Xenopus tropicalis: one gene and its partner. The protein of the gene in region 2 binds, or shares a complex with, the protein of the main gene of each other region. Links are inferred from orthologs where the notes say so. Each region holds a gene or a part of one and is shown on either strand. Other genes may lie near its edges.

Region 1 (3,658 bases), on a different chromosome or scaffold from region 2:
CATGGAATGTGGTAGCATTTACTGGCTAACTGATTTCACAGATCTAACATCTTTAATATCTTATGCCTGATGAATAACTGTCATGAACTTCAGAAGGCCGCATTCTTTATATCTAACAGTTAGAGAACGCTCTCTTTTCTTTGTTTTTCCAAACTTTGACTTAAACACTGTACAACTTTATTATTACTTGCTGATTCACTCTTACTTTTCTCTCTAGTAACCTTTAATAAAGATGTGAAAAAGGCATGCCCAGCACAAGAGGAATCAGGTCTATTTATTTAAATCATTTACATAACGAATAATACCTTGTTTTGGTAGGTTGTCGTTATCTTTAGGCTTGTCTGTGGAAACATTTGGATCTGTGTAAAACAGAGTTATATTTATTAACATAACTTATCAATACATTTCAGGTCACAACACTTTGTCTACTCATTGAATAGCCACATAAATATAATTACGTTGTTAGTTGTATCAAGTACCTATAACTGAAAATGGAACATATGATTGTTTTGTTCAGTTTTTCAAACTATTGTATTAAAGGAACAGTAACACCAAAAAAATAAAAAGTAACTAAAATATTATGCACTGTTGCACTGCACTGGTACAACTGGTGTGTTTGGTATGGCAGAATAGTGGTAGGCAGCCATTCAGTCCAAAAAAGTAAAAAAAATAATAATCAATGTTCATCTACAGGACTTACATGTAAAGCGTGCTATACTAAGGGGCACATTTACTAATACACGAACGTCCGAAAAGCGTCCGAATGCGTTTTTTTCGTAATGATCGGTATTTTGCGATTTTTTCGTAAATTGTTGCGACTTTTTCGTAGCCATTACGACTTTTTCGCAAATTGTCACAACTTTTTCGTAGCGTTACGACTTGCGCGAATTGTCGCATTTTTTTTGATTAGTAAATCAGCCCCTAAGTCTAGGCTGAGCATTGGAAATAAAAATAAATGACATGATCAACTGTGTGCAATAGCCTGCAAGCCATGATGTGCTGGAGTATCTGCTTGGGGCACATCACAGGAGCTTGCTCACCACAAGCAAATTCAAAGCTTTCATTTCTCAAATTCATCTCTCACTTTGACCTGCCAATTACACAGGTATAATATCTGTCTTAAACACTCCTTTCTGACTCAAATTCTTACAAGGGTGGTACAGCACTCACCCAGTATGCTACCATGAAGCCAAATATGCTATATTTAACTCTCCCACCATAGCCACCGTGCCTGTGGTCACTCAAGATACATTTGCTTTTAGGGAAATGTTTAAACCGCCAGATCCTTATAGTGATAAGCTCTTTGTTATGTTTTATTAATAGCCCCCACATCAAAGTGTTGTGTTTTACTGCTTCCGGCATCCTCCGCAGGGTCCTATTTACTTAAACTGACTAACCTTCCCAACCATACCCTCTGCTCTTCTAATTATTTCACTAGTCTAGAAAGCAATGATAAATTGTTTGTAACTCATTATTCAGATTAAACCAATACGACAATATTTTTATATTACCCATCAGTAGGAGTGGTTTTAGCATGTGTTTTGTCAACTTAGTCAAGTTTTAGTTGCACCCTCATTAAAAAATAAATAAAAATATATGATAAGCACATTGAAAGAATGTTAACAATGGGAACTTTTTTTTTTAGAAAAACAATGTATCTATTGCACTGATAATGTTGGTTAGTAGGGTAAGATGGGCGATTGGCGGGCATAGTGGTGCAGTGGTTAGAGTTAAGGTACTGGGTACAATTACATTGACAAGATTATTGGCAAGGAGTTTGAATGTTTTCCTTCTGTTTGTAAGGGTTTATGGTTTTATATTCACTCTAAAAGTATATGGACAAGTTAATAAGGTCTTGAAAAAATTGCCTGCAATGTGTAGGAAACTTAGATTGCAAGCTTTACTAGGCAAGTACTGATGGGAATGGATAACAGTAGTCATATTCAATGAACAGAAACCCAGTTGGATTCAACTGGTGTTGTCAGTAGCAACTAATCAGTAGAGATGTAGCGAACTGTTCGCCGGCGAACTAATTTGCGCGAACATCGGGTGTTCGCAAGTCCGCAAATTCGCGAACTTTCGGCGATGTTCGCCATTTTGGGTTCGCCGCGTTTTTTTTTTTGGCATTATTTTTTGGCGTTTTTTTTTGCCGTTTTTTTTACAAAGTATTTTTCAGAGAAATTTTTGCTTGATCCCCCTCCTGCATGCCACTGTCCAGGTCGTGGCACCCTTTAAACAACTTTAAAATCAGTTTTCTGGCCAGAAATGGCTTTTCTAGGTTTTAAAGTTCGCCTTCCCATTGAAGTCTATGGGGTTCGCAAAGTTCGCGAATATTCGCGAGTTTTGCCGAAAGTCCGCGAACGGGTCCGCGAACATTTTTGGCGATGTTCGCTACATCCCTACTAATCAGGTCTTTCCTTTCATTCTGTAACTTGTACTGTACAGCTCAAAACAAATTGCTGACTGGCTACTATCTGCAACTTAACATGTGAACTTTAGCTCCCATGTTATAAATCAGTGCATGAACACTCTATATAATCTATATATTTTAGTCAAAAATATATACTTTTTTGTTATCATGTTGCCAACATGATGATACCAATGTTGTGGCAACATTTACACACACATGCGTCATAGTGCATTATACTAAGAACCAATGTTTCAGCCCACTAGAGAGCATTTCTTCAGGGGTTTATTTAATACAGTATATAATGTACCCTGTATTGTAAAATATAAGAATATTATAAGCCACCAAGGAGTTCTGTAACCATATAAAAGCACAAGCCCAACTCTGAGGTGACTTCTAATATTCTCATATTTTACAACAGGGGGTACGTTATTTATTATAATACACAAGTTTCAGTGAGTCTTGTGGCAGAAATGACATCACTTAGCACTCATTATAACGGATATCTTCACCAAGCATTGTTTATAAGAATATCATTTACAGGATATTCATGGCTCTTGTGTATTTTGCATATATGTATATATTTATACATTTGAATTTGTAAAAAGATAATATGCAGTGAGCAACATCACCATATTCTTACATCTCCAATTCATAATAATAATCCAAAAGTCATATAATAGTCATCTGCATTTTATTTGGCAAGCATTTTCTACCTTTAAGATATTCGAGTTTTTCTCCTGGCGTGTCTGTTTTGATGATCTGAAATGAAGAATATGTAGTTGTTAATACCAGTCATAGACTAATGGCACTTTTATAAATACATCTAATGAAACCTTCAGTTTATTGCACAATAATATATTTAGATGGCCATATTAGTAAAGTCTCCTAAAAACAAGGGCTGACATCTGGGCTGGAGAGTTATTCATTCAAATACGGAATTTGGAGCATTCTTACTGAACAACTGCTGTCAGCAACTTTGATGCACCTGGTACTTCAGGTTAATTTAACATTTCTAGCACTGGTCAGTGCAATATAGTTAAACTCAAGGGATACGGAATGGGAGGTAAGGAAGAGTAAAATGAATAACTTGTTTTCTAGGAGAAGAAATATATATATAATCATGCCCAGTATGATGTAAACACGCTGGTGGGGAAAAATACTCAGTGCAAACAATTTGTCCTCTTTGTGAATAATTTTTCATTTGTGATACACTGCAACTCAAGTGCTCACAGAAAAACCGTTGCAAAG
Region 2 (3,758 bases):
TCAATTTGATCATTAAACCTTCTGTGAGGTACAGTATCAAATGCTTTAGCAAAGTCCAAGTAGATTACATCAACTGCCATTCCAGCATCGAGGTTCCTACTCACCTCCTCATAAAAGGCGACTAAATTAGTCTGGCAAGATCTGTTACGCATAAAACCATAATGGCACAAACTTATAGTATTGTGAACTGCAATGTATTCAAGTACCCTATCCCTTATTACCCATTCCAAAGGTTTTCCTACTACTGATGTTAGACTAACAGGCCTATAGTTTTCAGGCTGAGAACGGGATCCCTTTTTAAATAACGGCACCACATTAGCAACATTTCTAGCCATTAGGCTTTATTTAACACACAAGTATTAGATATTTTGCAATTGTGTGTTCAAATACAACCCAAAAACAACCATAAGTGCTAAATGTGTTTAAAAAAAATTCTTTTTACAAACAGAGTTTTTATTTACACATATGAAATAAGCTTTCACCACTATAACTGCTGGAAAGCAATAGTTAGGGGGCTTACCTCATTTATAAAGCTGGTACAACTAATGGCTGAATGACAAAAGTAAAAGATGTAGTCCCATACCACATGCAGAGTTCGGGAAACCCATATTGGGGGTTTTTTTTAATAACCAGGTCCAATGCCAGGACCGCAAACTGTAAAAACTCTGTGTTGCTGGTCCTTTAAAGAGAGATAATTAAAGCACTTTAAAGAAATGCTGGAATTTAGGCAGGTTTGTCAGAATTAAACCTGCCTAAATGCTGTGTTTACCATATTGTGTATTGGTCACTCACTTCATTTGTGCCACCAGAGAGTGGGTCCTGAAAATCTGACTCCCCAGTTGCATACATTGAAGAAAAGAACTAAATTGGCACATTTTCTTTTCACAACCCCTTATAATCAAATTATTTCCGTGTTTTATGGAGTCACATACCCAAACCATTCTTTTTACTACTGTTTTTAATATATTTTTAGGATTAAATTTTGCTTGTTTTAAAATAAGTGTCTGTCCCCTCATTTTTTTAACCACTTTCCTCTTCATTACTATTAACTTCATTAGTTCTGAGATAAACCACATATTGTTTAAGGGAATGTGCCCGGCCAATGCTGTATTTTATATATGAAACTTACATTAGTCTTTATTTTTATTAGCTTTTCAATTTTGTTTCTCTCCAGTCTGCTACTGCAAATGCTATCTGGTTGTTGCTAACCCAGGCAACCATAAAACAGACCCTCTAAAAGGCTTATACTTTATTATTATTATTATTATTACTTTAGCTTTCTGTTTGGTTCCTTGCTTACTGATCTTTCATTTCCTGTTGCTGCCTGGTTGCTGTTGTAATTAATCCCTAGCAAACAGCTAGCAATCAAATTTTCAAGCTTAAAAGCTGCAGAACATATAAGGATATAAAATAAAAAGTGTATCTGTTAATTGTCTCAGAATACTGCTGTTTACAGAAGCTTTAAAACTACATTTAGTTTTAATGCCTTTATTTGGCTATAATGTTTAAAAAAATCCCAATAAAAATGATTGAAACTAAAACTACATTTAGGATAAATTAAACCCTTTAGAGCTGTGGCACACAGGGAGATTAGTCGCCCACAACAAATCTCCCTTGTATATGACATCCCACCGGCGAGAATGTAAATCGCCGGTGGGATATCATACGCGGCGCATATGCCGCATATGCCATCCCATCGGCGATTAAGGGAGCTTTATTTCTCTCTGTATGTGTTCAGGATATATAAAACCAGAGGCTTACATACCTTCACTGCATGCTTTAAACTAATGGTATTTTCTGTGAAGCAGCACTTTTCACAGATGATTTCAGTATTTATGCCATATTTGCTAGTGTGCTAGTAGTCTTAGGGAACTGTTTATAGAGAGACTCTCATAGTTCCCCATTCTATCTTTTTGTTCCCCATGGGCGATCTGCAGAATACTTTCCTGTTTCAGCTAACCACCACCATGTACAGTGATCATATTTATCAAATATAAAAACCTACACATTTTTTATCTCTTATGTTCTGGAAAACGTATAGTGGTAGTAGGAACACCATTCCAGACTAATAATGCTTATTTGTACAAAGTGAAAGTAAACAGTAGTAAAACACAGACTGTAGAAAGATGTGACTCTGCTTTTGTGCGCAAGAGAATAACTGACAGAGAGTTCACAAAAACACACACTGTTCTGACTTCTGAGACTAACAATTTTAGTTCATTTTGGTTTGTTTTTAGTATTCCAATCTTCTCTTACCTTGTGGCTGCAGCTCAGAAGCAATAGCAGAAAAAGCAGCAGAAATCTCATTTTCCAGCAGAGACTGCAATACAAAGGCAGCAATTACAAAATGATATCAGCTACGAATCCTTGGGTTTGTTTTAGTCCGTAGAACAATTGTCCCTGGAGTGCTAGCTCAGCAGAACAGATGCCTTCTTTAGGAGTATCAAAGGAAAGCCCTTAGAATATCAAATATAAAAGCAGTTATATGTGCAGTGTCCCAGTCTGTACGGTCAGACCCGCCCTCTGCTGTATTCCAGAAATACAGAACCAGTTTGTGAAAGTGAAACTGGGGAATTACACAGGAGGAACTCTGAGCAGAGAGGGTGGAGGGTTCCTGTCTGGTGAGCCTGTAATTTAACTCTTGATTAGTTATACGGCATGAAGCCTAATGATAACTACGGAGTAATTCATGAAAAAATATATAGTATTTTGAAGCTGCCTGTATCACAAAAGGAAATTATCGCTGAACTTTTATCATTTATTGTTTTACTTTTGTAAGCAGGGATCACTAGGGTTCATTTTCCATTCCTCCCAACATTTGAAAAATTTAAAGAGGGACAAAAAGAAATGCAGGGCGTAGCATGACAAAAAATGTTTGGCCATGCCCATTTTTGTGACCACATCCCCTAAATGCCAATGCTATTTTTACAAAATTTGGCAGGTTATTTAAAGTTTGAACACATTTTTAAAGGTTTTAGGGTCTTGTTTAATGTGTTATTACATTGCCCTTTAATCTGTAAGTCTCAGTTCCCCCAAGAGACCTATTTAGCTTATTAGTTACAATTGTATCTAAGTACAGGTGTTGCTTGTTAATCTTTCTGGGCTCTCTTCCAAAAGCTACTTATTTAAGTTTGAGAAACGTTGTATCTTTTTTAGCATTCAGTGCAGGAGATCAAAGTGAAATGAGGGACTTTTCAGTAAGAATCCGGGACTGTGGGCTGTTAAAATCAGAAATGTCCCGCGAAAATCGGGACAGCTGGGAGCTATGCAATAACTATGTGTAAGGTAGGATGCAAAATGCAAAAAAGAATGCAATCTGACGTATTTTTTGCATTCTGCAACCCGCTCTGCACACTAACTTTATTTCTGCAGGTCTTTGTAATCCAAAAAGGATAACAGAGGCCTGTATCTGCCCCTATATATACAGTTCTGAGTTTGGTAGCACTGTATTTATGAGGGGTGGAACATAGGGTTACTAACAGGCTTGTTGAAACAACTTGCTTATCAATTAAAAAAAAAAAAGGGATAAGTATATTTTCTTAACTTTATTCAAAATCATTGTGTTGTTTAACTGTTGTGTTTATTTCTTTCAAAAGTATTTGCTGTTTTTGGTGCTAAATTACAAAGTTTGGTGAACTATAAGGCTTACAGCAGGTTTGCCAGAAGTTGCATTCCTTTATTACCCTCGGTTTGAGGTAGGTGGGGTTTGATTAGTTCACCTGAACAGACAGTATAAATAGAACCACTGGCACTCCAGT

The links. The genes of interacting proteins can lie anywhere in the genome.
Region 1: the proteins of cd40 (region 2) and cd40lg are in contact, whole or in part, in a crystal structure (PDB 3QD6), measured with the Homo sapiens proteins. The link is inferred for Xenopus tropicalis from reciprocal best matches to the Homo sapiens genes CD40 and CD40LG. Residues at the interface, in NP_001241.1 of Homo sapiens: Glu64, Ser65, Glu66, His76, Cys77, Gln79, Tyr82, Asp84, Asn86, Leu87, Trp109, Cys119; in NP_000065.1 of Homo sapiens: Ile127, Glu129, Ala130, Lys143, Gly144, Tyr145, Tyr146, Cys178, Pro217, Cys218, Gln220, Ser245, Gln246, Ser248, His249, Gly250, Thr251, Gly252.

What each region holds. Positions count from the first base shown.
Region 1 is NC_030684.2:69,119,058-69,122,715, reverse strand, and holds part of cd40lg (CD40 ligand), read right to left. Parts: intron 3,170-3,658; coding exon 3,124-3,169; intron 360-3,123; coding exon 306-359; intron 1-305. UniProt on the Homo sapiens protein: Cytokine that acts as a ligand to CD40/TNFRSF5. Costimulates T-cell proliferation and cytokine production.
Region 2 is NC_030686.2:20,127,565-20,131,322, reverse strand, and holds the start of cd40 (tumor necrosis factor receptor superfamily member 5 precursor), read right to left. Parts: upstream 2,308-3,758; coding exon 2,257-2,307; intron 1-2,256.